4 linked regions of the Caenorhabditis elegans genome follow. The protein of the gene in region 3 purifies or fractionates together with the protein of the main gene of each other region. This does not show direct contact. Each region holds a gene or a part of one and is shown on either strand. Other genes may lie near its edges.

What was found.
Region 1: the proteins of cpn-1 (region 3) and unc-60 fractionate together in Caenorhabditis elegans (co-fractionation; one large-scale study listed by BioGRID). This does not show direct contact.
Region 2: the proteins of cpn-1 (region 3) and cyn-3 fractionate together in Caenorhabditis elegans (co-fractionation; one large-scale study listed by BioGRID). This does not show direct contact.
Region 4: the proteins of cpn-1 (region 3) and F33H2.6 fractionate together in Caenorhabditis elegans (co-fractionation; one large-scale study listed by BioGRID). This does not show direct contact.

The regions. Positions count from the first base shown.
Region 1 is NC_003283.11:1,471,538-1,481,324, reverse strand, and holds unc-60 (Actin-depolymerizing factor 2), read right to left. Parts: upstream 6,240-9,787; 5' UTR 6,187-6,239; coding exon 6,184-6,186; intron 6,014-6,183; coding exon of another isoform or gene 5,918-6,013; intron 5,765-5,917; coding exon of another isoform or gene 5,538-5,764; intron 5,485-5,537; coding exon of another isoform or gene 5,385-5,484; intron 5,325-5,384; coding exon of another isoform or gene 5,253-5,324; exon of another isoform or gene 4,541-5,252; intron 4,444-4,540; coding exon 4,357-4,443; intron 3,987-4,356; coding exon 3,874-3,986; intron 3,375-3,873; coding exon 3,288-3,374; intron 2,123-3,287; coding exon 1,954-2,122; 3' UTR 1,749-1,953; downstream 1-1,748. Other genes in the region: F53E2.2 (Actin-depolymerizing factor 1, isoforms a/b), read right to left, coding at 5,253-5,324, 5,385-5,484, 5,538-5,764, 5,918-6,013, 6,184-6,186. UniProt on the Caenorhabditis elegans protein: Depolymerizes growing actin filaments in muscle cells; required for the assembly of actin filaments into the functional contractile myofilament lattice of muscle.
Region 2 is NC_003283.11:15,186,536-15,192,901, reverse strand, and holds cyn-3 (Peptidyl-prolyl cis-trans isomerase 3), read right to left. Parts: upstream 2,976-6,366; 5' UTR 2,951-2,975; coding exon 2,882-2,950; intron 2,832-2,881; coding exon 2,580-2,831; intron 2,270-2,579; coding exon 2,069-2,269; 3' UTR 1,976-2,068; downstream 1-1,975. Other genes in the region: plc-2 (Phosphoinositide phospholipase C), read right to left, coding at 1-25, 117-179; Y75B12B.11 (DUF7808 domain-containing protein), read right to left, coding at 1,066-1,189, 1,244-1,340, 1,389-1,472, 1,524-1,593; bath-36 (BTB and MATH domain-containing protein 36), read right to left, coding at 3,357-3,640, 3,690-4,261, 4,322-4,428; cyn-7 (Peptidyl-prolyl cis-trans isomerase 7), read left to right, coding at 5,542-5,610, 5,659-5,910, 6,025-6,219. UniProt on the Caenorhabditis elegans protein: Catalyzes the cis-trans isomerization of proline imidic peptide bonds in oligopeptides. Plays a role in protein folding, transport and assembly.
Region 3 is NC_003279.8:8,633,710-8,640,182, forward strand, and holds cpn-1 (Calponin-homology (CH) domain-containing protein), read right to left. Parts: upstream 3,418-6,473; 5' UTR 3,415-3,417; coding exon 3,295-3,414; intron 3,167-3,294; coding exon 2,951-3,166; intron 2,907-2,950; coding exon 2,664-2,906; 3' UTR 2,414-2,663; downstream 1-2,413. Other genes in the region: ces-1 (C2H2-type domain-containing protein), read left to right, coding at 240-315, 631-934, 986-1,067, 1,168-1,247, 2,011-2,195, 2,250-2,335; mfap-1 (Microfibrillar-associated protein 1), read right to left, coding at 4,889-5,068, 5,122-5,394, 5,525-6,314, 6,369-6,473.
Region 4 is NC_003279.8:15,012,479-15,019,895, reverse strand, and holds F33H2.6 (Regulator of microtubule dynamics protein 1), read left to right. Parts: upstream 1-3,300; 5' UTR 3,301-3,316; coding exon 3,317-3,585; intron 3,586-3,644; coding exon 3,645-3,821; intron 3,822-3,977; coding exon 3,978-4,114; intron 4,115-4,475; coding exon 4,476-4,606; intron 4,607-4,782; coding exon 4,783-4,974; 3' UTR 4,975-5,042; downstream 5,043-7,417. Other genes in the region: dog-1 (Helicase ATP-binding domain-containing protein), read left to right, coding at 1-140, 578-666, 924-1,379, 2,195-2,423; pole-1 (DNA polymerase epsilon catalytic subunit), read left to right, coding at 6,022-6,062, 6,107-6,745, 6,798-7,128, 7,177-7,417.

The sequences.
Region 1 (9,787 bases), on a different chromosome or scaffold from region 3:
AACTAGCATGTTTGTATCAAATAAATAAGGTGTCAACCTGGAAAGCATCAAAACTCAATTTGTGAACGATCAAAGCCGATCCAGATGAGAATCGTTAAATGAACAATCACAAAATATATACCAAAGCAAACAAAAGAACTGATACCTCCCCTAGTCATCCCTTTTCGTCACAAGACCCTTTTTTTCTCCCACAAAATTTAACTTTCAATGACCTTTCACCTCAACAAAGCCCTAGAGATCACTAGATCCGGAGAGACTTTGACGAAAAGTCAGCTGTTGTTGTTGGGAATGGGGCTCATGGAAAACGAAAAACGAAAAGATAAAATAAAACTCAATGGGGGGGGGGGACGGATGAAAACTATGTTGTGCTCATCATACGAGCATCACTTGGCCCAGTGCCAGAAAATACTAGGGAAGTAATATAAGATAGCGAGAAAAAAAAATGTTAAGAAATCAAAAATCCGTATTGAAATGGTTGTGTGTGTGTGTGTTGCGAGAGTGTCTGAGCTTTCAATCGGATAAGAAGAAGGCATGTCGGTACACAGAAAAGAGCCGAACTATTGAAAATATGACGGATATTGCGATATGTATTGTTTACTGAAGAGCCGAACGGATAGAGCACGTAACAACTATCTCTGAAAAAAAGTACAGTAGTTCTCGAAATTCATGGTCGTGGAATTACACGGCCAACCATTTTTCAATAGTTTTCTTTGATGAAATAGTCAGGAAGAAATTAGTGTTAGGCTTAGGCTTAGGCCTGGGCTTAGCCATAGGCTAGGTCTTAGGCATAGGTTTAGACTTGGGCTTCTGCTTAAGCATAGGCTTATACTTAGGCTTAGGCTTAGGCTTAGGCTTAGGCATAGGCTCAAGCTTAGGCTTAGGCTTAGAATTAGGCTTAGGCTTAGGCTCAGGCTTAGGCTTTGGCTGGAGGATGACAAGAGAAAAAAGTAAACCCACAAAATGGCAAAAAAAAACCTTGAAATCTACTCAGAAAAAACATCAGATTTATGTGTTCTTCTTAGAAAAAATGATGCAGAAAAACCGCATCTGGAGAACATTTATTTGAAAAGGATTCCCATTATTTTTTGCGAAAAAAAACGAATCTAAAAACAACGGGAAACAAATGGAACGCGATGTTTTTTTCCGTTTTCAGAACACTACGAAAACTGATTTTTGAACAAAACTAAGCCAACTCACGGATTTCTGGCTTCCCTAATAAATTGAAATGGAAGAATTTGCCGAACTAGGCCATTTTGGCTCGGCCATATCTGGGGTAGATTTACGGCGCGTTGCGTGTCGCGTCGTGAGAAATTTTACTTCTAAATGCATTTGTCCGTGTGGAGTACACGACTTTCCCCAGGCGTTGTTTGGCTGGCGATTGTCAATGGAGCGCGAAAAATTCAATGAGGAAGGCCAGAACCCCGTGGGCCAACTCTGTTGGATTTCGAAAAAAAATCGATTTTTAAAAATTATCCAAAGAAAAGAATGTTTCGTGCTGTTCGTTTCAAGTTTCGAAACAAACAAACAAAATTCGAAGAAAAGTAGCATAACTTGTGCTCCTGCTTGTGCTCCGAGAGCCGGTGAGCACAAGTCGAGTGGCATCAGGTCAAAAGTAAAGAGATGCTCTCGGGGGGTGTGTTGTGCTCTATAACATCTGAGGGCTCTTGGGGGCTCTGGAAAAAATGGGTAATTGATTTTATTGTTTTTTGTCGTCTGGACGTCATGGAAAACAACAACTGACATGTTCTGAAGGAACGGATTTATTTATTAAAAGAAAAATATTTTTTTAAAAATTCCAGAGAAAATGGGAAATCAGAATTACAGACAAGAAAAGTCATAATTTAACAAGAAAAAAAAAGTTAAAGGCACATTTTTGACGGGCTTGGATGGTCCGAGAGACTAGTAGTACCAGAAAGAAATTGTAATTTGTGATTGGGATTCAATTGGACAGGCTTAGATTCTTTGGTTGGACATCAGGTCGCTCTTCACGCTCTTCTCGTCGAGGTCCGACATCTCGGAGGCCTGTACTTGGAAGAGGGACTCGAGTCCGAGGGACGCCTTGAGAGCACGGACCGAGGAGGCGTAGAGCATACGTCTGCGGACTGGGGCGTTGTCTGGGCAGCTGAAAATAGGAGTTTGGGAAGTGGAATGTGGAAATACATGGAAATTTTTTTAAAGAGATTCTTGTTAATGGCCGACATTTTGGTGGCCGAGTTTTTCTAGTTGATGGCCGAGGTTTCCTAGTTGATGGCCGAGGTTTTCTAGTTGATGACCGAGGTTTTCTAGTTGATGGCCGACATTTTGATGGTCGAGTTTTTCTAGTTGATGGCCGACTTTTTGGTGGCCGAGTTTTCCTAGTTGATAGCCGAGGTTTTTTAGTTGGTGGCCGACTTTTTGGTGGCCGACTTTTTCTAGTTAATGGCCGACTTTTTGATGGCCGAGGTTTTCTAGTTGATGGTCGAGTTTTCTAGTTGATGGCCGTGTTTTCCTAGTTGATGGGCGACTTTTTGGTGGCCGAGGATTTCTAGTTGATGGCCCACTTTTTCTTGTTGATGGCCGATTTTTTGGTGGCCGAGTTTTCCTAGTTGATAGCCGAGTTTTTCTAGTTGCTGGTCGAGTATTTCTAGTTGATGGCCGAGTTTTCCTAGTTGATGGCCGAGTTTCTCTAGTTTATGACCGACTTTTCCTTGTTGATGGCCGACTTTTTGATGGCCCAGGTTTTCTAGTTGATGGCCGAGTTTTCTAGTTGATGGCCGAGGTTTCCTAGTTGATGGCCGGTTTTTTGGTGGCCGAATTTTTCTAGTTTATGGCCGACTTTTTGGTGGCCGAGGCTTCCTAGTTGATGGCCGACTTTTCCAACGAGAATTTCAGTAAATTCGTTCATTTTTATCAACTTTCTTGGTTTTTTGTTTGGACGATTTTCTAGATTTTCCAGACGCGAAATTTTACGCTATCTGGTCTCGACACGACAAATTTTTGTTAAATTCAAACAGGTATGCGCCTTTAAAGAGTACAGTAATTTAAAACATTCGTTGCTGCGAAATTATAGTGTTACCGTTTTTTTAACGCAAAAATGCGGACAATTTCGAGCATTCCGGCTTGATCTACGTAGATCTACAAAAAAAGCCGGAGTAGAGACGCAGAGTTCTCAACTGATTTCTCATGGTTAAGAACGTGCTGACGTCAAATTTTCTTTGGGAAAAAAATCGCGCATTTTTTCTAGATCAAACCGCAATGGGACAGCCTGGCACCACGTGTATGTGTAATATTTCAATGTTGAAACTCACTATTGAACGAAGATGACCTTATTGAGTGTGCTGGTTCCCTCGGCTCCCTGTCTTTGGACAGTAACCTCGACGTCGACGGCAGCATATCTGCAAAAAAGGATGAATTGAATCGAGATTTCCGACGAGTTTTGTTGTTTGATAATTATCCAGACAAGAAATTTTGCGGTTTTTTTGCACCAACTGGTCTCGACACGAAACTTTTTTGTTAAATTCAAAATCATATGTGCCTTTAAAGAGTAATGTAGTTTCAAAATTCCATTGCTGCCAAATTTTCATTAATGTTTCACAGTTTCTTAATATTTATGTGAATTTTTTTCGATAATAAAACATTCCATGGAAACAATAATTTTGAAATTACAGTACTATTTAAAGACGCACACCTTCTTTTCTCTGCATTCATTTAACTAGTAAAAATTAGTCGTGTCGAGACCTAGCACCGTATTTTGGCGCAAAAACACAACTTTTCGCGTAGAATACACGCGACATTTAGGCTCAGACTAAGACTTAGTGTTAGGCTTAGGCTTATTCTTAGGCTTAGGCTTATGCTCAGGTTTAGGCTCAGGCCTAGTCTCAGGCTTAGGCTTACCTGCACTCCTTTCCGTCCTCAACAAGCTTCTTCATCTCCTCAACGAACTCGGCGTACGGAGCATTCTTCTCTCCGACCTTCTCGACGACGATGGCGGTGTCATTTTTGTCAATCTGATTATTTTTTGATTTATTTTTTTTCGATTTATTTATTTTTTAAATTTTTAAAAAATCAAATTTAGAAAATTATTTAATTATTACGGGAACAGAAAACTCTGAAAATGCGTACTGCACAACATATTTGACGCGCAAAATACATCAAATATCTCGTAGCGAAAACTGCAGTAATCCTTTAAATGACTACTGTAGCGCTAGTGTCGATTCACGGAAACCATTTATAAAGAAAATTGCAATAATTGAGCCCGTAAATCGACACAAGAGCTACAGTACTCATTTAAAGAATTACTGTAGTTTTCGCTACGAGATATTTTGCGCGTCAAATGTGTTGTGCAGTACGCATTTTTTTTTTCGCAGAATAACTCACCTTGAAGATGATGTAGCTGTGCTGATGCTTGTTGTGGAGAAGATCGTAGGCGTTCTTGCAGGATGGATCAACTTTGACTCCGGAAGCCTGTACTCAAAGGTGTTTGTAATATTTTTCTGGTTTTTATGTCAATTTTTGTTTCCTTTCAAAATTTTCCACGCGTGTTAAAACAATTGTTAGAAACTCCAAACTTGATTTCATTGTGATAATCTTAAAAAGCACAGCACATGAACGGTTTGGTGGGTGATTCTTCAAGGGGATCGGGCAGGGTGGGAAAAAAGTAAGAAGGGAAATGAATACGCAATAGAAGATTTGAAAAAAAAAGAATGGTGAGGAGATGGAGATTGAGAGTTCCAGTGGGGGAAAGTACACTATATAAATATAGAAAGCTTTACAAGAGAGAGAGAATATAATCGTAAATGAGAAGGGATTTACCACGCATTTCACTAAACAATAAAGATACTGAGAATCTGAGGGGATGTCTCAACTTCTTCATAGTACGGAAGGTTACCCGGCACATTGTATTAAATTAGTGGGCACACACAATCACTTGCCCCCAGGAAAAAAACAATCGTCAATCAGGAAAAAAACAGATAAAAATAGAGGATAAATTAGCAATGTTAAGAGGTGAAAATGTGAAGAAGACGCTTAAGAAACATCATCGAAACACATCGCCGCAGTCATGTTTTCAACGGATGATTCTTTGAGGACACCAAAAAAAATGAACAAGTAGTGAGGTTGGTAAGAAAAAAGCACCACAACAACGCACTAGCACATTCAAAGAGCACACGTGAAAACGATCAGAAATCATCAAGCAATGGAGAAAATGCGACAGACAGAGACGAGAATAATCGAGGATGTGACGGCGACGACGACTTCGGAAGAGACCCGTGTATCTAGTGATCTCCGTATTTCTCGCCCAACTTGTTGAGGAGTTCCTTGTGGCTCATCTCGCTCTCGTCAGACACCTGAAATTTTAATAATTTGATTTTTTTTTTCTAATTGTAAAAATTATCGAGATTTCTCACCTGGAACTGAAGGATTTTGCCGGTTCCGAGAGAAGTCTTGATGGCGGCGGCGGACGAAGCGTACACCATCTTTTTCTTGATAGAAGCACCATCTGGGCAGCTGGAAAAAAAATTAGATGGTACAATAATTCACCAATAGGATCAAGCGCTTACATCTGGAGGAAGATGATCTTGTCCATCTTGCTCGTGCCGGCTCCAACACGACTGCACGTGAACTTGAAGTCGAAAACGGCGTAGCGGCAATCGGTCAGATTATCGGTTCGAGACTTCACGTCCTCGACGAATTTGTCGAAAGCGGCCTTGGAAGAGTCATCATAGTCGTCTCCAGTGATGCCGAGCTGATCCTGAGTCACCGCGGCTTCCACGATCACCTTGTTCTCCTGGAAAATGTTGCAATTTAATAGGGAAATCAATAATGTTCATCTAAAACAATTAATTTGAGGATTTTTCAAATTTTTCAACAAAAAAAACAAAAAGTGGCACGAAATTTTTTTAAATTGATCTGATTCAGATTTTATTTTTTAAAAACTCACGTCGATCTTGAAAATGATGTAGCGGTACTCCTTGCGTCCCTCGGAGAGCTTTTGGAAAGATGTCTGCACATCTGGGTCGACCATGACACCGGAACTCTAGAAAACAGGCACACATAGGTTAGGTTAGGTTAGGCAAAAAGAAGAGAAAACCATTCCATTTTAGTGTGAAATTTTGGAAATTCAATGAAAAAAAAACACGCCAAACATAACATTCCAAATTTCTTTCAATTTAAAAATATTGAAGCGAATTAAAATCTCAAACTCACCATTTTGAGATGTTGTTGTTGGTTTGTGGTGGGGAAATAGAATCAAGTTGAGTTTCCTGCAAGAAAAAATGATTTTAATCAATCAATAATCGAATCACGAGAAGGGAAAAACGATAGTGAAGAAGCTCAACACAAAGAAAAAGTGTAACCCAGATAAGAGTCATAAGGGTCATAAGTGTGAGGTAAATTGGTAAAGTGATGGAAACAGAGAGAGAGAGAGAACAAGAGCCAAGAAAGTCCATTGTGATTGGCACAGAAGCAGGATGAGAAAGACGCAAAAAAAAAGAGACGGGGCCGTCCCTTCGGCCTAACCCCCAGCCCCAACAACACAACCGCCAGTCAGAGTGCTTGCCTGTGCGAGCGCGTCCGCTTAGATAGACGAGGACGAGGGACACGAGGAAAATGAAGAGACGAAGAGATAGAGCGAGATAGTGACAAGTAGAGGAGAGGGAGCGGAGAGAAAATGAAACGGGCAGCAACAGCAGCAGCAGCACCCAGCCCGAATGGTCATCTTTTCCGTCCCCTCCCGGAGAGAGAGAGTGAACGATCTGAAGAGCTGGTAGAGAAGAGAGTGAAGAGAGAAAATAGCGAGAACCGAGCAAACATTCGCCATGTGCAACACACACACCATTGTCCCCCGACCTTACTTGCTCTGCCCGAAATACCAAAAAAAAACAGATACGGACTACCTAGTGGTGAATCCGTTTGCACTTTCTCCCGGGCTTCAGTTTCTAGAAAGTACTGACAAAATTAGAAAAAAGTAGGAATGCACTGCTATTGATCGTATGAATCATCATTCAGCATCGAGGAGTACGTTATATACACTATGGTATCAACTGGGAAGGAGAAAGATTAGAAAACCACCCGTTTTTGTGTTGTACACAACAACGAGGAGGACGACGACGGTGTATGAGTCAGCGCATGGCGGTACGAGAATGACGGAGAGGGTTTGGAACAATTTTTGAATTGTTTCCAGACGTTAAAAATATTGAAAACAACATCGATTTCGGCTTTGAACAAGGGGCAAACGAAAAGGACATACCCGGAGGAGGACACACACACAGTGGAAACAATAGTTGATGAGAGTAATTAGCGAAAGGAACTCGGTGCTACGAGACAGTCGAAGCGTATAATCTCCACTTAGCGTACGCGCAGACAACTACACCGCCCATCTACTACCCCCCCCCCCCCCCCCGACATATTCTCTACTTTCGGGTTATTTCAACATCGGGTGAAAGTTCAGTGAGAAAAAAAACATATCATTTTCCTTGAATTCAAGTCGGAATGAGCATTATTAGCATAGAAGTGTTCAGATGGTTTGCGTGGGCGTAGAGAAAGGGCAAATTGACTGTGAGGGAGCCACCAATTGATCGAGGAACGAACAAAAACGCCAACGACGTGGGAGGAGTCAAAGTCATTAGCAATTGCGAAACAATAAGACACGCTCATTTCAGAAATAAAAAAATGAATTAGTCATCTTGAGAATTATTTTTAGAATCTTTTCTAGTCGCTCAGTATAATAATTTGACAGTGTATTTCAAGACAGTGTTTTTCGTATGCAAAAATATTAAATAGTCCAAGAAAACTCGGACGATTTAATTTAAAAGGGGAGTAGAGTTTGTAGTATTTTGCTTAAATAGACAAAAACTGGTCCAAAATCACCGAATTTCATAATGAGACTTCACAAAAAATTTCCAAAAATTTTTCATGGCCGGCCAAAATTCGAAAAAATGGCCAACTATTGCTAAAATCTGAAATTTCGCACACTTTTCTTTGTCACAGCCGCTGGATTTTAGTTTTTCTGAGATTATCACCCTTTAATCCTTATTTTGGTAATTTATCTCGCGGAAATTCGTTGATTGAGACACTTTTTGAGCCGATGGGCATCCAAAAATGATAAAAATTGTATGCCTATCGGCCTAAAAGTTGTCTCAATCAACGAATTTCCGCGAGATAAATTACCAAATTAAGGATCAAAGGGTGATAATTTCCGAAAAACTAAAATCCAGCGGCTGTGACAAAGAAAAGTTTGAGAAAATTCAGATTTTAGCAAAATTTGGCTCTTTTTTTCGAAATTTTGACCGGCCATAAACATTTTTGGATAATGGACCAGTTTTAGTCGATTTAATTAAAATAGCCACAAACTCTACTTCCCCTTTAAATGGTCTCCCAATAAGCAGCCGAAATATTTGGAAAACTGATGATTAGCTACAAAATTATGAAAAAACGAACGACTGTGAGAATTGTTCAAGGACAGTACGACTGCGTATCTTGTGTTTGAACGATGTGTCACTCACACACTTCTCATGGAGACAGACACATGTATTGATTGTCGTCGCCGGGCTCAGTTCGTCAGACGACGAAGGCCAGTCAAATGGTTTCTCAAAACGAGAGAGGATAGAAGAATCAATTGAGGAATATGTCGAAGTGCCAGATGTTGTAATGTGCGACACACGGAGTCGTTGATCGTCGCATCTTCCGGCACTGCTGCAGTGTCCTCCTCAACTACACTACACAACCGCCGCCGCGACCCCACTTCTCAAGAGTGTCCCCGTCCATCCGGCTGTTGGTGTGCCCAGTCAATAGAGGAAAAATTCAAATGGAGAAAAATAAGGTCGACAACGAGAAATGGATGATGACACATGAAAATTCTGGAATCTAAAACAATACAGAACAAAAGTGATGAATCATATATTTTTCAGACATGAAAGCGATCACAGAACGGGGGAAAATAGACCGAACGAACAGAAAACGTCCCGATGTTGCGCCCAAACGCGACTGATTCATTCAAATGTGACCCAGAGAGCGGTGAAGAAGCGGAGCGCCCGCGCTGCGCGCCGCCTGTCCGTTTCGTTTTTTTTTTTCGTTTTCCCCATCGATTGACACAATGGGCCGTCGCCTTCGTCACTGCCGCTGCTGCGCCTTCTTTCTGAATCGTCGGTCCTTGAAAATTAGGGGGATTTCTAGTATTTCGCAATAGCCATGGGACCCGAACAGAAAAAGTGGAGGTTTCGAAACAGAAACTAAAAAAAAACAATTTGAGGAGACACCGGAAATGAGTGAGACGTGACGAAAGCTGAACATATTCAATGGATTTCAATGATGAATAAAATAAAAAAGTGCAATTTTTTTAGCAATCTGCGAAGATTTCATGAAAAACTCGACAAAAAGCAGAGAGAACGGGAGGAACTAGCAAAATAAAGGGGAAAATGGGGAAAGTGAATGATTTCCGCAGACAAGAACAATTTTCGAATAAATTTCCCGCTAAAAAATGAAAAAAAAAAGCGTTTAAATTGCGAAAATTGACGGAGAAACAAAAAAAAGATGACAAAAAAGTGTTCAGCGGATTTGAATTCAAAAATGTTGATTTCGTGGCGAGACCCGATGAAAATTAACGGTGGAGCGCACTTGGTTAATCCTTATTGGAAAGATTTTTAGAGCGAAAATTAAAATTAATTTAATTTCTAAATCGATTTTCAGGCAATTTGCGGATAATTTCTGGCGAAAAATGTTAGAAAAAAAATTTAAAAGCTTTTCGACAACTGAACTGCCTGACGCAAATAACAAAATTACACAAAATCTTTGAATTCTCTCACACACAGAG
Region 2 (6,366 bases), on a different chromosome or scaffold from region 3:
GAACGGCATTTCGGCTTGTCCAATTCTGAAAATTTCATAATTTTAAATATTTTTGATTACCCAAATACGCTCCATTGACAAAGAGTAATTTTTTTACAACAATGTAAAATCCTCACCTCCTCATATTTAAAGAAAATCAATTTACCATCACGCAAAATGTCAGTAGGTTTCGTTGCCATGTTGGCGGAGGAAAGTGACAATTTTGTCACTTTCCAGGCCAGTTTCCAACCAAATCAGCTTTCCGTGTCGTCAGCAGACGCCCGAGAGAGTACGAGTTTGAGGAGAGACGCAGCGAATTTGGCTGTACGAATGTTTGTGTTTGGTGCATATGATTGATAACTGATAGCATTCTTTGATTGGGGGAGCAGTATGAAGAAGAAAATGTCAAGGTTTATGTGATGTCACCAGTGAGTTGTAGAAAAGGTTACTAATTGTATTTTGATTTTTTATAGTATGTATTTGAATAATTTGATTTTTGGTTTTCAGATGGGAACATGAATCGAGTGTGTCTTTGAATGAATATAGGACAAATATGTACATATGTCTGACCTCATGCCTACACGCGTGCCTACATCCAAAGTACATGTTTTAGAGCAAATAGGCAGTAGGCAGGCAGGCATAAGGTAATCACGTTGCCCGGTCTCAAAACGACATGTTTTCGTCAAAAAAGTGTGCGTCTTCAAACAGTACTGCAATTTAAATTTTTGCTGTGCAATTTCCTTCCAATTTTCATAGAGTTTATTAATTCGCTTGGAAAACTTTAAAAAGTTGATTAAAGAAAAGGGACAATACAATTTTGAGATTACATTACCCTCTAAAGGCGCACATCTTTGTTATTTAACAAAACTGTGTCGTGGCGAGACTTATTTTTAGCCCAAAAAGTACATATGTAATTTTATTTCGAAATAAAGAGAATGTTCTTGATCGAGTTTAGAACTAATACAATATCTCGTCGTCAATTTTATTTAATTTTTCCAATTTGCTCGTCGAATGGTGTGCCACGTCTACATCTTGCGTACTTTCTCGGGTACCGTAATACAATAAAATCCAGAAAAATTATTTATTTCAGACCATATACACCGCAAAAGCACAATGAACAGATAAAGTAATATTTGCTTCAGCACATTTTCCACTTCTCCAAATCACATATTTTCCATCGGAAGTCTTTTCAGCATTGTATGTGTAAAACCTTAAATTTATAGAATTTTTGAAACTACTGTAAACATTAATTTAATCGGATCACCTATTGCAATATCGATAATCGGTGGGCCTTTTTGAGATAACACTGTCACGATCAGCTTTATCACATTCTATATCACATGCGATTTTTCCGTTAGAATCTGAATTTTTCTTGCGATTTCAAAAGTTTATTCAAATAAAAAGACGACCTTTCTCACAAACTGCAGGTTTAAATTCTTCGCCGGTTTTTTGAAGAGAGCAGTTGGCGTTTTCACATTTTAAAATCCGATTTTCTGAGAAATTTTTAATGTCAATTCAAAAAAATTTAATCTTTTAAAAATTACCCCATTGATAAAGAGAGTTTATAGTGTTTAGAAAAATTAAAAGCGACAATAAATAGTAGATGCGATTCATTAAAGATTGAATTAAAATCTGAATGGATGTTGCATGTAGATTCAAGTATTAGATAAAGCTGAAATCCGGTTCTGAAACTCTCCGCTTCATTATTCCTCTCTGCTTGCCTACGCACACTTTTATAGGTACACAACGGCGCACTACTATTCGCGACCGAGTGGTTCAGTGGTAAAGCGCGCCGTCTTCAAACAACAGACGCGGGTTCAACTCCTCAGCGGTGATCGATGACTTGTGCAGTGGCCGAGGCGATCGGATTGTGATGTCGCCTGAAAAGGCGGGACCCAACGTCGCGCCTTTCGCCAGAAGATGGAAATATGCGCAACGTCTGAGCTGATTTCTTTTTTTTTTCTCAATGAGACCTGGGTTTCTTCAAAGGAACAATCGGGGATAACTGAGGTTTATGAGAAAAATATGGATTAGTTGAATACTGAAAATATATAATCAAGAGATGAAGGAGATTTCGGGTGCAATTAATTTATGCCTTGAGTTGTCCACAGTCAGCGATCATGCAGTCCTTGACTGGCTTTCCGGATTGGGATCCGTTGGATTCGACAGCCTTCACGACGTCCAATCCTTCGACGACACGTCCGAAAACGACGTGCTTTCCGTCGAGCCACTCGGTCTTGACGGTGCAGAGGAAGAATTGAGATCCGTTGGTGTTTGGTCCAGCATTAGCCTGAAATGTTGAAAATATTACTTTCGAGACAGACAAAAATTCTGATATTTTTTGAGACTGATACATTCAGCTGCTCTTTCTCATAAATCATTCAATTTCTCCTAACAACGGCTCAGCACTCCATCCTACACACAACGTGCTGTGAGATATGTCTGCGTCTCTCACAGATACGACAATTTCCGGAAAAGCAACATTTAGAAATCTTCAGTTTTCCCTCTTTTCGGAGAACAAACAGTGATATTTTTCCCAAATTGAGCAGAAAAAAACATTTTCTCGAACTTCAAACAGATTCAGCTGACGATTTGCTTACCATGGAGAGGACTCCTGGTCCGGTGTGCTTCTCCTTGAAGTTCTCGTCTGGGAACTTCTCTCCGTAGATGGATTCTCCTCCAGTTCCGTTTCCGCGGGTGAAGTCTCCTCCCTGGATCATGAAGTTCGGGATGATGCGATGAAACTTGGATCCCTTGAAGTGGAGTGGCTTTCCAGACTTTCCGATTCCATTTTCTCCGGTGCAGAGAGCGCGGAAATTACCGGCGGTCTTTGGGACAACGTCATCGTAAAGCTGTAAAAAATTTATTTATTGAAGATGAAAATAGCCAAAATTTCACAAACCTCCATGACGATACGTCCGGAAGCCTTACCACCGATGGTGATGTCGAAAAAGACCTTTGAGCGGCTCATTGTTGAGGCAAGAATAGGGAAATTACTGAAAAATCATAAAAATTACATAATTTAAACGAAAATCGATAAAAAATCTGAATAAAAAACAGTGAATTCGCATGAAAATTCAAAAAATGGGACCGAAATGGAGAGCGGCAGAGAAATTTCGATTTGTGGGCGGGGTCAGAATGTTCGCTCCGTTGATAATTTGTGAGACCGCGAAGTTTGAATAAGGTTTTCTTTCATCAGCAGAGCGTGCTTACATTCTTCTTTTTGGTGGTAGTTTAAATTTGAGTTTTTTAACCAATCAAAAATTAACAGTTCTTCGCGGTATTTTTACCTTCTCCTTAACAAAAAATAATCTGCAGTTTTGAAAACTGAAATCAACAACAGAATTTATCAACAACAAATTCAACAAAGCTTGGAGCTAATCTTCCAAAAGATCAATGAGCTTCTGAAGCAACGCATTGTAGGTTATATGATCGAGAGATTTATAATTTTCGTGATGCTTCAACGCAGTAACATCTTCGCTGGTCTCCAATTGCGAAAGGCATGCATTTTGAAGCCTTGAGAGTCTGTAGACTTCGGCGAACTTCAGCTTGTCGATCAAGTGGGTCTTTTGGTCCAAAATCAAAAACGTTTCAGCCTTTTCCAGAACTCTTGGCACCGCGAATCTATCGCTCAGCTTGAGCAAGTGAGACACGTTGGAACCTGAAAATCCGTTAATAATTCCAAGCCTCAAATAAAAAAAAGAACTTACTATTAATGAGCATGTGAGTGGGGTAGATCACATTGAGCAAATCGATAAACTCAGAGTGGGTCACATCATCGATTTTGATCTCAGCCTGTGTCTTTTCGGCGAAATTCGAATAGAACATTTTTTGGAAGAATTGCGAGCTCGTTGCGAGCACTTGCTTGCCAACATGGACATGTTTTCCTTCAAGCACCAGCACAACATCGGTAAGATGTTCCTTGGGTTGATCGAAAGTCTCGATAATCCTCTCATGAATTCCGGCAATCTTGTTGACAGTAATTTGGACTTCAAGAACGGCATGCTTATCGAGCACAAATCGATTATCGTAGCAGATGGCTTCCTCCCAATTTTTAAAATTGTTGACCACCACAATCTTGTTCAAGTCGTCGAACTTTTGCTGAAACTCCATCGAAAACGCGTCATCATCCTCGTTTGAATTGAGTCTCAGAAGTGAAAAACGAATTGACGCATCGCAGGACCACAAGTTGCTGCGCAGTTCCTCGTTGCATTTCAGGTGAATTCCGAGATGTTTAGCATTGTTCGTAGCGTCGGAAGTGCTTGTGAATGCTCCAAGAATCCTTAAAAGATAATATTTTAAATAATTTAGAACATTTTTTGTTTCATTAAAATTCACTAACCATTCTACGTGTCCAATTTGCACTGGTTTGTGCTCCGTCGCCTTCGCCAAGCCAGAAAAATTTTGAATCTCAAAACGAATTGATCCTTTATTGTCTTTTCCAGACATTTTATCTTGTGATAAATTTAATTTGAACAATGAAGAAGAATTTGAAACAAACAATTTAAGCTGAGCAATGCTCTCACCTACAGTACACTAAATGGCTTCGAGACCAGTCAAAATTTATAAAGTTTATTGGTCTATTTCTAGGACTTTCACATTAACCATTTTTAGCACATCACGATGTATTTTGTGCAGATTTTATTTTGTCCTTGTACGAAAAGATTATTTTTTAGCGGATAAGCAAAGCTAATCTTGACGAACCGCTTCGCAGATACCCGTCACATGCAGAGCTTCATATTTAGCTCAATCGATCTCGAAAGCATTCAACAAAATGAAAAACTGTTGGATTAATTTGTGATCTATTTAGCAATTTAAAATGTTCTCAATGTTTCTCAATGTTAAATCATCTCGATATTTCTCCTTCTTTTCGTGAAGACCGTGGTGATGATCGAACTGATATCAATGACCGGTTTTTCAATGTAATCTTTTATTGCCTACAAAAATTGTTATCAATTTCGGCGCCGTTCTGTTGTTTTGTGTACGATCATTTGAAAACACAGGCGCACGGTGAAAGTGTTGACAAAAGGCGGGAAACACAGCGAAAGTGTCGTCAGATATGGCGCATGTCGTATGATTGGGTGTCGGGTACGCAGACACTTTTGCGGACTTTGTTGTTTACGTCGGAAAATTCTAGAAGCGAACGGCTCATTTCTTCTCTCTTTCGTCGCCTAATTTGTTGATTTTGTCAGAATTTTTATAGTTTCGCTTATTAAAATGAATTAAAATCAATTGAAAATTATTTAAGAACTTTTTTGATGTGCAACTGTCGTTTAATCCTTGTTGAATCACGTCTTTCGGCAGATTTTAGGCCCAACAGGAAAATTAATTTAGTTGGGCCTAAAATTTTCTGTTTTAGTGCGCTAATTCACTCCATTTCAGTATATAGCTCATCCGTGTGCTTCTTCCTTGTATCTTATGGTGCTTTGTTTATATTTTTAACTTTGATTGATTCCCGCTCTATTACCGCAGAGCGTGTTTGCCGCACCTCTGTAGATATACCTATCTCATACATATTTCTCAACTATAACTCAAGCATTTTAGTGATTACCCTACCTGAAAATGAGCCGCCCAAGAGTCTTCTTCGACATCACCATCGCCGGAAAACCAACCGGACGTATCGTTATGGAGGTAAACAAAACACTGATCTTTTTTCATGAAATTAAATCTTATTTTCAGCTCTACAACGATATTGTTCCAAAAACCGCTGAGAACTTCCGTGCTCTTTGCACTGGTGAGAAGGGAGTCGGAAAGTCCGGAAAGCCACTCCACTTCAAGGGATCCAAGTTCCATCGTATCATCCCAGAATTCATGATCCAGGGAGGAGACTTCACCCGCGGGAACGGAACTGGAGGAGAATCCATCTACGGAGAGAAGTTCCCAGACGAGAACTTCAAGGAGAAGCACACCGGACCAGGAGTCCTTTCCATGGTAAGTTATGTTGCCTAGCCAGATTGAAAGACAGCATAAACTGATAGAAAAGAAGCATTATCTAGTTTCTTAACTGTTATCCACTGGCTGATAAGTTTCATTGTTTTTCTTCAGGCTAACGCTGGACCAAACACCAACGGATCTCAATTCTTCCTCTGCACCGTCAAGACTGCCTGGCTCGACGGAAAGCACGTCGTTTTCGGACGTGTCGTCGAAGGATTGGACATCGTCAGCAAGGTCGAGGGCAACGGAAGCAGCTCCGGAACTCCAAAGTCCGAGTGCCTCATCGCCGACTGCGGACAGCTCTAAATTTGTTCTCCGTGAGAACTTTTCTTCTTTTCAATCACCCCATCCAACCCTGTTTATTGCTTCACTTTTTCATCTTGATCATCAATAAATTGCTCGAAAAGAATATAGTTGTTCAGTTACATGGGTCGTACTCGAGGAAGCCTTCGT
Region 3 (6,473 bases):
TATCAAAACGTGTTGTAAACTCAACCATAACCGCCTCAGCCATTATATTTCTAAAATAACCTGTGTCCCTCTTGGGACCACCTACTGCGCATGTCTACCAGCTTGTTGGAGCAATTCTTGTGGTTCCGCCTCTTCGTGAGCTCCGACCAATCAGATCGTCTCATTAAGACCACGCCCAGTCTTGTTAAGCTCAACAGATTTTGTGTGTAGTTCACAGCTTGATTCATTTCTGATAGAATATGATAACTACCCCGAATATTAGTTTAACACCAACTGTTGCTCCTCCAGTAGATTTCCCCATAATTGGCAATTGTGGTGAGTTATTGAGTTTAATAGGTTCTTGATATTTCGTTAATATTTTTTGGTTTTGGAGATTGTGTCAAAATATTGTATTTTTCCTATTAGTCTTGCACCCCCATTGCTCCAAAGTGGCAGCTCTTATTTTGGATCTATCAAAAATTGTTCAATAACAAAAATATAAAGAATAATGTATCTGACACCTATATTTACTGTTCCACAATGTTTTAAAAAAAACCAGAGACAACCGAGATAAAAACAGTCAAAGTTGAGCAAATGTTGAGCAATCGGTGGTGATACTTATTTAACCTTTTAGTCCAAATTTTCTTTCAGATTTTCAAGCCCAACTATGGCATCTAATGAGTCTACACCTACAAATGCAAAAGTCTTCAGCTGCATCTACTTCGTCCTCTTCTAGTTCGTCAACGTCCTCTGAAAATCTGAAGAAATCTCCATCATCTGTACAAAATACCTCTGTATTCTCAATAGACAATATTCTAAACTCTCAAAAAGTTCCAAAACTAGAATTGGAAAACGATGAAGATGTATCTTCATCTCCGTCTCCAACATGTTCTACCACTGGATATACATTGGATTCACTTCAAAATTTGGATAGAAGAAGCTTGAATAAAAAAGGGTTAGTGAAGTAATTGAAACGGAAGAAGACTCCCGTATAACTTTTTTTCAGACCATCCTCTCATAACAGATGTGTATGTGACAAATGTGGGAAAAGCTACGCAACAACTTCCAATCTCAGTCGACACAAGCAGGTAGGTAAAACAGTGTTTTTCTGACAGCTATGACATAACATATTGCTTCCTTCGTGTTCCTGGATTGAGAATTCTTTTGTTTTGAAAGTAACAATTTCAGACGCACAGAGCTTTGGATAGTCCACATGCCAAACAATGCCCTCATTGTGATCGAGTCTACGTCAGTATGCCTGCACTAAGGTAAGAGCTTTACTTTTCAAAAAGTATTATTGTATTTTATAATGAGAAACGTGTAAAACTGAGGAATTCGAGTCAATAACTTTCAGAAGTGAAGTTTTTGAATTTCTTAGAAAAAATTCTAAATCTGGTTATTACGCAGGCGCAAAATATTGTCATTTTTGAAAAATACGGTACCCGGTCTCGACACGAAAAAATTTGGTTAAATGCAAAAAGGTGTCCCTTTAAAAGAGCATCAACGAGAGAGTTTGAAAAATACAGTACTCTCAAAAAATTGTCGTGTAAAGACCAGGTACAGTACTTTGGGCGCAAAATTGCAATATTTCGCGTATAGGTAATACGTTTTCACACCAGAGTTTATTTGAAATATCGAGCTAACTCAGTTCAAAGAATAGAGAATCATTACTTCCAAATAATATCCAGAATGTAATTGAAACCACGTTTGTAAGGTTAATCTCCTCAAGCTTTCACTTCGTATTATTTAATCACCAACAATTCGCACCTGCCTTATTCTCATCAGAAGACAATCTTCCGATTGCGCAATCACCACCTGTACCTGTATTTCTTTGCGTCAACACACATTGTACACTATTGTAGTTAGGCGGATAATAGAAATTATATAATACATGGTAATAATAAGAATTCGATGGAATTAGTAGTGAAACTAGCAACCAGAAAGCTGGGGCTAAGTGTTCACAATCTAGTAGAGACTTAGGATTGGACGTTAACTTTTTCTCCTAGTTTTACAAGTTAAACTGAATTTCAGCATGCACATTTTAACACACAACGCTTCTCATGAATGTAATGTTTGCGGGAAACGATTTTCGAGACTTTGGCTGCTCCAGGGACATCTTCGTTCTCACACAGGTCTTCGGCCTTTCTCTTGTGCTCATTGTGGAAAATCATTTGCTGATCGGAGCAACTTACGAGCGCACATGCTAACTCATACAGGTATTTACGCATATATTTTCACACCTAACAGTTCTTCAATATTTGTTGTTCCAGGTGACAAACGATTCGAATGTGATAAATGTGGTCGTCGATTTGCCCTGCGAGCTTATTTAAATCGTCATTTGGAAACGTGCAAATGACATCCATGTTCAACCAGACCTCAAGCTCTTCTAGTCATTTGCAAATCGTCTAGTCTCATATTGTAAAATGCTTATTTGCCTACTTACAAGCTTTATTACAATACAATAAATAATTTGGACAAAAATTCTACACAAAAACATGGAAATCATTATGAGTTGTATGTTGGAACCGATGAAATTTGGAGAAGCGAATTGAATTTTCTAGAAGTGCGTGGCTTCCAGATCGATTACAGTACACTTGATAATTTGGACATATAAAAAAATGAATAGGAAAATTTCACGTTATGATTACCAGAACCGGTTGAGAATGTAGGGAATACGTTGGAAATTACATGTGGCGGGTGTTTCCCATGTTAAGTCCTGAAGCAGTTGCCCCTTTGTTGCTGCCCATTTGAAGACCAATCACGTTATGTCCAGCTTTCAATTGCTCATCGGTCCATTCACGACGATCTCCTTGAGCTTCCTTCGGTCCGAGACCAGATCGACCGAAGTTCTTCTCAGACTTTCGTGCCAAAGAAGCGAGACAGATGAGGACAGCATTTGGGTCCTGTCCTTCGTAGAGATCAACAGTCTGAAAACAATTGATGTCATAATGTGTTTAGTGAAAGGACAAACCTGGAAGAGTTCCGACTTTTGCACATACTCCTCAGCAAACTTCAGGAAGAAAGAGATGTTCTCCATTTTCTTGAATGCCATGGCAGATGTGTTGACCTTCTTGACGCTTCCTGGTTTCAAAGAATTGGCAAGAGTGCAGAGAAGACTTCCATCTTGAAAAACCTTGACCAAGTTGTCAGCGTCTCCTTGGGTGTCGAAAGATTGGCCAGTGACGTTCTGAAAAATGTTTCAAATCGTGAATCGAAGAAGGAGCATAACTTATTTGTATGATTTTCTTCGTTTGCAATGTAAACATATGACTTTGCCAAGAATCAATAAACGTTTGAAAAGTTTCACAAAATTACCTGAACCCATTGAAGAATTTCTCCGGCAAGATTCTTATCGTATTTCTCGTAGATTTTCTGCTGGGCCTCCAATGCAATTCCAGACTTTTCAGCGCGATCCGAAGAAGCGAAAGCGGACATTTTCTAGAACGAATAAGTTTGAAAGAAAAAAAGCGTATAGTTAACGACGAGAAAAAATATTTATAAACAAAAGAGGTTCTTCCACTCTCCGCTAACCAAAAATGGTGAAATTCTTCTGACTCATCGCAAAGTTTTGGTTCTCCGCCTACGTCTTGCGTTTTTGATAAGGAACATTTGATTGAACGGTGTTTGATAAAAAAGAATTGGAAGAGTTTAATCGAAAATAGCCCAAAAATAACAATTTAAGAGTGCTCTCGGGAGAAAACTGCCGGTTTGAATGAAGATATGAGAAATGTGCTCAGGAGCGCTCCTAAAATTCAGGCGGTCTTTTGTAGTTAAAGGAACATTCAAGAGGCAACAGTACCGGGTCCCATAGCGAAACAAAAGTTTGTGGTGATCGCTAGATTTTTGTGTTTGATTTTGAAAATACTGTTCTTTTTCTCCAACATTAAAAGAAGATGTTTTAAATAAAATTCAGCAAATTATTAATATTTCATTGTAAAAATAGATTTTTAGAACTTTCTCGAGCTCGAGGCACTCAAAATAAAGTTACTTTGGTTCTATGTCGCAATCTAAAAAGAGCGATAAAAAAATGAAAGCTACATAAGCATGGAAAAATTTTTCAAAAAGAGATTTTGCAGCTCAAATAAGAAAACTACGATCTAATATCCTGGTTTATAAAAAACATAAAACTAATGAAAGAAAACGAAAACTACTTCTTGAAAGAAATATTACCGGTACAGAGAGTGTAGATAGTTAGAGAGTGACAGACATCCGGGACCCAATGGGGCGGGCGCGCGGAAGAGACGATTTGTGTCGATTTACGAAATGATGACAACGAGGAAAATTTCGTAAATCGGCACAAATCGTCTCTTCCGCGCGTCCCGCCCCATTGGGTCCCGGATGTCTGTCACTCTCTAACTATCTACACTCTCTGTACCGGTAATAGGACACTTTGCAAACATGCATACAAACACGCCAATGACCCTTTTCTAATTAAAAACGCAAAACCACTTTTCAAGAGTCGACCGATCGGAAAAGGTGGCGATCGACAACACACTCCTCACAACATGATGACGAAAACCTTGAAAAGGAATAGAAAAAAACAAGGACGAATGGTGAGCGGCTCGTTTAGGTTGAATGCATTTGAAAAATATGAAAACGAGAGTCGATATGGGAATTCTCAATAAAACATTTGAAAGTCCGAATAGGAGAGGTTCACAAACCAAATGAGGGGAGAAACGAACCGTCTGTTGGTTTTTTTTGTTTCGAACACACAGTTGTGTTTGTCCTTTGCATTAGCTGGTATGACGAGAACTTTGAACTTTGGCGTTGAATAATTGCTACTGCAACACGTATTGTACTGGTGTATTTTAATCGCACAATTACTCTGAAACATTTTTTATTCTTAGAAAACAAATAAATAGAAATCGAAGTACAAAAAATTGGGATTTTCAGGAATGTGCAAGCTTTTTCAGTTCTTTCGCTTTTTTGTTGCAGGTCTCTCAAAAACTGGTCTGGATCCTCCGGCTCTTTTCGTGGAGAATTGAGAATTCAACTGATTCGTTGATGCCCAAACACCTTGATGATCTGTTGTATCTTCTTCTGTCAAGTGCGTATACTTGGTTCGAGATGCTTTTCCAAAGTTTTTGACCTGAAATAAATAATTTAGTTCAATTATCACTATAATAAGTTACGAGTATTTACCTGCATAACTTTCGGCAGAATAGTTTTATCAAATTGATCATCGTTGGTAGCTTCGGCAAAGTTTCTCTTGAGTACTTCATCTTCTTCATCCAAGAAGAAAGCTCCACGATGGAAATATTTTTGAAGGAACTTGTATTTTCCTTTGTCCTGTTTGTTAGTGATAACCTTTGGATTTAAACGAAGATATTTGAGTCGTTCTTCCTCGGACATTGCGTGAATCTTGTCAAGTTCTGCCTTCTCGCGTGCGGCTTCTTCACGTTCGTCACGGTTTCTCTGCAAAAAAAAATTGGATATCGGATATTATAGTGAGAATTTTTTTGAGAAATTTCTATGTCAATTTATTAAAAAACTCAAAAAAAAAACTTCGAAGATCTACATTCAAAATTTTGCAGCAAAAATTTACCTTCAATCGTTTCATTTCTCTGAGCTTCCACGCCTCATATGCCATATTTTCAGTTTCATCGTCGGTTAGAACAGATGACAAATCAACACGATCTTCTGTTTTTCTTTTCTCAGCAGCTTCTTCCTCTTGAAGAACCTTTTCAACTAATTTTGCACTTTCTCTCTTCCGTTCTTCAGCTCTTTTTTCGTCTTCGATCTTTTTCAGAATTTCTTTTTCTTTCTCCTTCTCGGCTTCTTGCAAAGTGATACGATCCTTCTTTCTTGTGAAAATAGGCTTCAATCTTGGAACTGGATCGTCATCTTCATCTGAATCTTCCTCTTCACTACTTTCTTCTTCTTCCTCCTCTTCAACATCATCTTCTTCAAGTTCTTCTTTAATTTCTCGTTTTATTTCTTCCTCTCTTTTAATAGCTCTATCTCTGAGCATTTGACGTCTTCTTTCAAAATCTTCTTCATCTGATTCAGCACTGTCTTCTTGTTCTTCATCTTTTTCTCTGTTATTTTCATGTAATTCCAATCTTCTCATTCTGGCTCTTTCTCTTCTCTCTTCTTGTTTCTCTTCGTCTTCTTCAGATTCCTGTTCATTTTCAGATGATTCGTCCTCTACTTTTCCAAGAACTTCTGGCTTCTCCACCTGTCGTCGTCTACCATAATCTTCGTGTCTTCTGTGGCGTCTTCTATCTTCTTCATCACTACTTTCACGACGTCTACGTCTTCTTCGATCATCATCTCGATCTGTCTCTCGGTCTGATTCACTGCTGTCACTGTCGTAGTTACGAGCATATTCTGGTCTGAAAATCAATGTTTTAAAGACTAATTCAACCATTAAACGAAAAAAAACTTACGCCTTTCCAGCCACATATCTTGAAACTTTCACTTTCTGCATAACAGTTTGTCCTTTCTCATTTTTGATTGGAATGGCTCCAAGAGTCGGAAGACGCGAATGTCCG
Region 4 (7,417 bases), 6.4 Mb from region 3:
CACGTTCTATAGTCCTCGCATCGGGTACTCTGTGCCCAATGGACACTTTGAAAACCGAATTAGGAATGGAATTCAAGCAACAAGTAGAAGGAGATCAAGTCATTAATAAGGATAACATTTTCGCAGCGGTTTTGCCAATTGTAAGGAAAACATTTGGTTAGGTAGCGTCGTGTGGTGCCCTGAGAATTACCGAACGAATGAAATTTATTTCTTAAAGAGATGACAGGGCACGTGTTGTCAGACAGTCTCATTGCAGGCTGATCTACAAAACATGCGGGAATTTTACCCCAGAAAAATGTGACGTCAACACACTCTTCATCATGCGAAATCAGTTGAAAAGTCTGCGTCTCTTCTCATTTCTCGAAGATCAAACCAAAATGAGGCAGGAATTAGGATTTAAAATTTTTGATGCAAATTTATGTTAATTTACTTAGCATTAATGCTAGCATTGAAAAAGTATGTCATTCGTCCTATAAGTCTCCGGCTAGCATACAAGGTTTATTTTCGAAAATACGGTCTAAAAACTACCAAAATAAAAAGGAAAGCCTTATTAATTTAATTGATTTAAAAATTCCAGGGTCCCTTTGGAAATCGCATTCAGTGCACGTACCGCAACACGTCAGATCCGGAATCTTCATTTTATTGCGAGCTTGGAGCAATTATCAAGTACGTTGGCGGATTATTTTTCGAATTTTCTACTTTCAGAGAGACTTGAAAAAAATGAATAGATTTTCAACAAAAATGTCAAATTTTGTTTAGGTTATTTAAATCAAGACTTGTTTAAAACAAATATAATTTCTGAAAATTCAAATCGGAAAACTTAGTTTTTGTCTAATTTTTTATAAAAAGTTACAAAAGCCTTGAAAAATGTTCCAATTGTTGGAAAATTTTCGAATGTTAAGAAATCAGCTCATTTTTTGCAGGTATGTATGCAGTAACGTGCCAGCAGGAATTCTATGTTTTCTCCCCAGCTATCGAGTTCTAGATCAATTAAAACAATGTATGATCCGTAATTCAACAATGCGACAAATCGAAATGAAAAAAGTTGTGCTCTACGAGCCGCGAAGATCCTCAGAATTAACATCAGTAATGGATCAATTCGATGCGGCGATCTTCGATCCGTCTAGATTCGGTGCAAACATCAACGGATCTCTTATGTTTGCCGTTTTTCGTGGAAAAGTTTCCGAGGGCATTGATTTTGCCGATGATCGTGCGCGTGTGGTGATTTCTGTCGGAATTCCGTATCCAAATGCGATGGATGATCAAGTGAATGCGAAAAAGTTGTATAATGATCAGAATTCCAAGGAAAAGGGGATTTTGACTGGCGATGAGTGGTATACCACGCAGGCCTATCGAGCATTGAATCAGGCTTTGGGAAGGTGAATATATATACAAAGCCGCGTGGAATAAAAACTACGTTTTTTTTATTTAAAAAATGTTATGCTATGCTACAAATGTTCAAAACACAGCAATTTTCTACTGTAACACATAATTCTGAAATTTGCGCAACATTTTTGACGCACAAAATATCTCGTAGCGAAGACTACAGTAATCCTTTAAATGACTACCGTAGTGCTTGTGTCGATTTACGGGCTCGATTTTCGAATTTCCTAATCGAATTTTGACAGCAGTATTTAATTTGTCTTTTTTTTTCTGTATTGTTTTGTCATTTTTGTGTTAAAAAAAAATATTTAAATGAAAAACGTCCAATATTGCCTTATAGGAAACTCATACAATCGTATTTTTACATTATTTTCCGTCTATTGCCGGGTTTCACCTGGAAAACCTGCAATAGACGGGAAATAATGTAAAAATACGTTTGTAAATAGGAGTTTCCTCATCAAAATGAAGGCAATATTACACGTTTTTTTCTATTAAAACAGTTGGTTAATGAATAAAATTTTTTTAAGTACAAAAATGACTAAACAATACGAACAACGAAGGAAAATTGAATATCACTGTCCAAATTCGAAAATAAAATCGAGCCCGTAAATCGGCATAAGCGCTACTTTTAAAGAAATACTGTAATTTTCGCTGCGAGATATTTTGCGAGTCAAATATGTTGTAAAATACGCATTCTCAGGATTTAGTGTTCCCGTAATATCAAATCTATAATATCACGTGAAATAAGGGAATCAGTAGAAAAACCATCTGGCCAAATTTCACTACAATCTAAAATTCATTAAATCTTCAGATGTCTCCGGCACAAAAACGACTGGGGAGCAATGCTAATGATCGATGAACGCCTAGAACGTCAAACTGGAAATCTTGTGGGCGGAGCCTCGTCTGCTCGTGTCTCAAAATGGATTCGTGCTCAACTGAAAAGCTATCCGAGTTTTAAAGAATTTAATGCGAATTTTCGCGAATTCATCCAGCGTCGACACGCTGTTGAGAAAGCAAAAAAAGAGAATTTTTGTGAATGAATTAAACTTTTTCTAACTTTTTTTTTTCGATTAAAACCCCCGCCCCTTATCTTTTTTACGTGTAAAATTTATGATTTTTCCTCATTTTCTTAAACAATTTTTAGACGTCTTTTTTAAAAGTTAGAATCTCCCTAATGCATTGTTTTTACCCCTTTTTTCAAATCGATTTTCATAAAGCTTGGCCGAACTTTTTCTCTCTTCTCTCATTATCACTTATCAGTGTTTACCTTTACACCACTTGTACTTTGAACTGTGAAATGCTGACAACATTATAGCGTTCTCAGTAGCCTACGAGAATTTTTCTAAAACTTGCCTGGAACCAGTTTGAACGCAAAATTTTTCCCTTTCGAGTGTTCAAAATTAATTTTCAAATTTTCATTTTGTTCGAAAAAGGTTTTGGCGTATGACTCTTTCCGAATATCTTTGTGAAATTAAAAAAAAACTTCTCGGATTTAATATTTCAGCTTGAAATCTCGCACCCAAAACTTAACGCGCCAGAGGCAGTCTCATTGGGGCGCACCGTGCTGTGTCGATTTACGGGATTTTTCACCATCTGTCATGTTTTTTCAAAAACTTTTTTTTTGGTTATTATTTGGAAAATTGTTTTTTCCGTGTCAATTGAACATTTTATTATATCCAAATCACAACTCGATGAAAATCCGAATTTTCGAAAAAAAAAACGATAAATTTAAGGCTTTTTTAGTTTAAAAAATTTAAAGATATTCGGAATTAGGGGGTTGGAATAATTCAGTGAATGCGTCTTTGAGTATGAGTTTTTTGAAAAATTACCTATGTACTTGGAAAAAGGCCATCGAAATTAATAATATATTTTTGTTTCAATATTTATAATTTATTTAAAATTGTCTAATTTTTGCAGCCTCTGAAGAAAAAAAATGTTCAAACGAGTATTCAATCTCCGTTTTATTTCGAATTTCTCTCGCCGCCCGACATCTTCTCCAAAACTTCCGAAATTAATTGCAATCACTGGTGGAACCTCGCTTGGAATCGCATTTTTTGGAAAAACTGAAGAGAACAAGAATTTGGACTCAGGAAATGGACAATTAATTGATGGAAAACCGAAAAATTTCGATTTAATTGTTCGAAATTCGGATGAACTTTATGATAATTATCTAATCGATAATTGTTATAATATTTTGAAAAAGTGAATTTTCAATTAACTTTTAGAAATGTCCATTTTAACTTTTCTTTCCAATTTTTAAGATTTGAAAATTCCAATTGCTCCGAGCTTCTATGGCGTCTGGCACGTGTGGTTTGTGAGAAAGGAAAACTCTCAAAAGATCAAAATCAACGAAAAGAGCTCATTTTGGAAGCCTATGGAATTGTGAAAAAAGCTCTTGACAATGAGCCAAAGAATGGATGCTTTGGAGCACATAAATGGTACGATTTGGAGTTAAAACGCTATTTATTCCGGGTAGAACAACACAATTTTGCGAGAAAAAAAAACTATGACTGAGGGTGGAAATCGAAAACTGAGCACCTGCCTTTTTTGGCGGCTGAGTTTTAGCATTTTCTATGCCACATGGCTATCTTTAGGTATGCCATTCTACTGGATTACGTTGGAGAGATCGAGGGAAACAAATCGAGAATCGAAAAATCATTCCAAGTGCGGAAACATTTAGAGAAGGCGTTATCGATTTTCGAGAACGATCCAACAACGTGGCATATTTTGGGTAAGGGATTCCGGATTGAACAGAGAAAAAAAAAGAAAAATCATGTTAGAATTTATTCACGTGGAGTCAGACGGTCCCTTTTCGCTTTGATCTACGAAACATGCGGGAGGTGAGACGTAGACATCTCAACTGATTTCGCATGGTTAACAGTGTGCTTACGTCACAAATTTTCTGGGAAAAAATTCCCGCATTTTTTGTAGATCAAACCGCAATGAGACTTTCTGACACCCCGTGTTTATTCCGAATTAAAGCTCTACAGCTCACCGTTCAATCAACGGGGGCGGGCGGTGCTTAACCATTATTTTTTTTAGATATTTCTGCATTTCGCTTCGAGAATTAAAAAGAAAACCTCAAATTTCAGGAGTCTGGCACTTTTCCTTCGCCAATATGGGTTACGCGACTCGAATGGTGGCCAAAGCTATTTTCGCAACTCCACCAGCATCCACATATCAGGAGGCTCTACACTATTTCCTAAAGGCTGAACAGATTTCGGTAAAAAAATATCAGAATTCAAACACTTTTAGTGAATCTCTCATAGTCAATCAAAAACATACAAAAATGAAAAGTTGTCGACCAAATTTTTTTACACTTTGAACATTTTCCTCCACTTGGGAAGTAAATAGTGCCACGAAAAATTCAGATCATTATAGTTAAATTCAAATTTTCAGCCCGGATTCTACAGTACGAATACCTACTACATTGGCGAAGTGTACGAACAACTAGGACAAAAAGCCGAAGCACTTGATGCATTCAAACAATCATTCAAAATGCCAGTTGTGACTTCTGATGACGCGGTTATTCATAAGAAAGCATACGAGAAACTGAAGAAATATGGAGTCAAGGATACTGAAGTTGTTTAGATTGTGAAAAATATGTATTTGTAAGATGATTGTTGTAATTTTTAACAGAATAAAAATATTTATTTGAATTTAATAATTGTCTAATGTCAGCTAAATAATATTGTCGGAAATGAGGCACCACGGTTTCAAGATCTGGTGAAATTCCGGATCTACGTTTTCCGGAAATACGATTTCCGGATCTACGTTTTCCGAATCTAGCACCGTGCCAACCCACAAAACGCTTTTTTATTCACTCGACGCACGTTGTTTTTTGAAAATTTCTTCTAGAAGAAACGCTTAACAACACGCGACGCTTAACAACGGAGCATCGTTGTCACGTTTTTCTCCGAGAAAAATAGCGTTTTAAGAGTTGGCCAGATCCGGAAAACGTAGATCCGGAAATGGTAGATCCGGAAAACGGAGATCCGGAATTTTACCAGATCTTGATACCGTGGTGCGAGGCACCACGTTTTCAAGATCTGTTCAAAAACAAGATCTACGAAAACAAGATCCACCAAAACAAGATCTACGTTTTCAGGATCTGGCACCGTGCCAACTGCGGTTTTCTCGAAGAAAACGAAACAACGATGCTCCGATGTTACGTTCGCGTGTTGTTTAGCGTTCAAACGAATATTTTTTGAAATTTTCTTCTAGAATTTACGCAACACGCGTACGCACGCGTAGAGAAAACCGCAGTTGGCACGGTGCCAGATCCTGAAAACGTAGATCTTGTTTTGGTAGATCTTGAAAAGGTAGATTTTGTTTTGGTGGATCTTGTTTTCGTAGATCTTGTTTTTGAACAAATCTTGAAAACGTGGTGCCTCCGTGGTGCCTCTCGGAAATTCAATTGTATTGCTTTAAAATTCAAATTCTGCTCCTTCCCTCCATTTTATGATCTGGTGGCCTAGAATTCCACCCAACTCGTCCTCTGGCCGAGCGCGCGAAATCTTGCATTTTAAACTCGATTTCCCATGAAATTAACTTAAATTTGCCATTTTATCTAGTTTTTTCTTTAGTTATTTGATTTTCAGTATTTTCAGACAAGTTCGGTCATCGCCAGCAAGCTCAATGAGCTCCAAGGATGACATTCTTGCACAGGCGGTCGAAAAGTTTGTTTCAAGAATGGAGAAAGTATAAAATCTTCTTTTTTTAGTGATTCAAACTACAAAGAGCGGCTTGCCCTGATCAGATCAAATGATGAGATTGATGCGAAGCTTGGTTTCTCTAGATACACAGGACTACAGGAGAAAAAAGGATTTCTGATAAACATCCAACCTTCGGAGCTTGTCGACGAGCAAACCAAAGTTATTATTTCGGTCGTTGACTATTTCTTCATCAGTGATATGGACGAACGCTTCAAAATCAGTTACCCATTTCGACCGTATTTCTATATTGCCACGTTGGATGGATTTGAATTCCAAGTATCCAGTTATCTGTCCAAGAAGTACGGAGCCCAGACAGCAGTTGAACATATGGATCGGGAGGATTTAGATTTGAAAGATCATCTTTCTGGGTTGAAGAAGACATATATCAAACTCTCATTCACCAGCACCGTGGAATTGATAAAAATCCGTAAGGAATTAATGCCGCTGGTGCGGAAAAACACAGATCGCATCAAAAAAGAGTCGGCGTACGCTGACTATTTGGCGAGGAATCTGAGTGGAAAAGGAGGAGATAGTAAGGATCAACAGTTGAATGGTGACATCTTGAATCAAATTGTTGATATCAGAGAATACGACGTGCCTTTTCACATGAGAGTTTCCATCGATGAAAAGATCTTCGTCGGATTATGGTTGGAATCATCCTTTTCTTCTTTTTTAAATTCTAAATTTATAAATTTCCAGGTACGATGTGAAAGGAATTGGCCCGAACCGTGTTCCAACAATAAAGCGAAAAGATTTGCCCTTGTTCCACGCAAAGCCGAAAGTTCTCGCCTTTGACATTGAAACAACGAAACTTCCGTTGAAATTTCCGGATCGTGAGAGCGATGAAATTATGATGATATCATATATGGTTGATGGACGTGGATTTTTGATTATCAACCGAGAAATCGTGTCGGCTGATATTAATGCGTTCGAATACACACCGAAAGCCGAGTACATAGGAGAATTCACAGTCTGGAATGAGAAGGACGAAGCTGCTCTGATTCGGAAATTTTTCGATCATTTTTTGCAGGTAAATTCTACTTTTAAACTGAATTTGATTAGAATCATTTTCTTGCAGGTTCGTCCAAATATTGTTGTCACCTACAATGGAGATTTCTTCGATTGGCCATTCGTAGAAGCTCGTGCCAAGATCCGCGGATTCAATATGGAAAGGGAAATCGGATTTTCTAAGGATTCCGCCGATGAGTACAAATCACGAAATTGTATTCATATGGACGCTTTCCGATGGGTCAAACGTGACTCATATCTACCGGTTGGAAGTCAGAATCTGAAGGCAGTGACGAAGGCAAAGCTGAGAT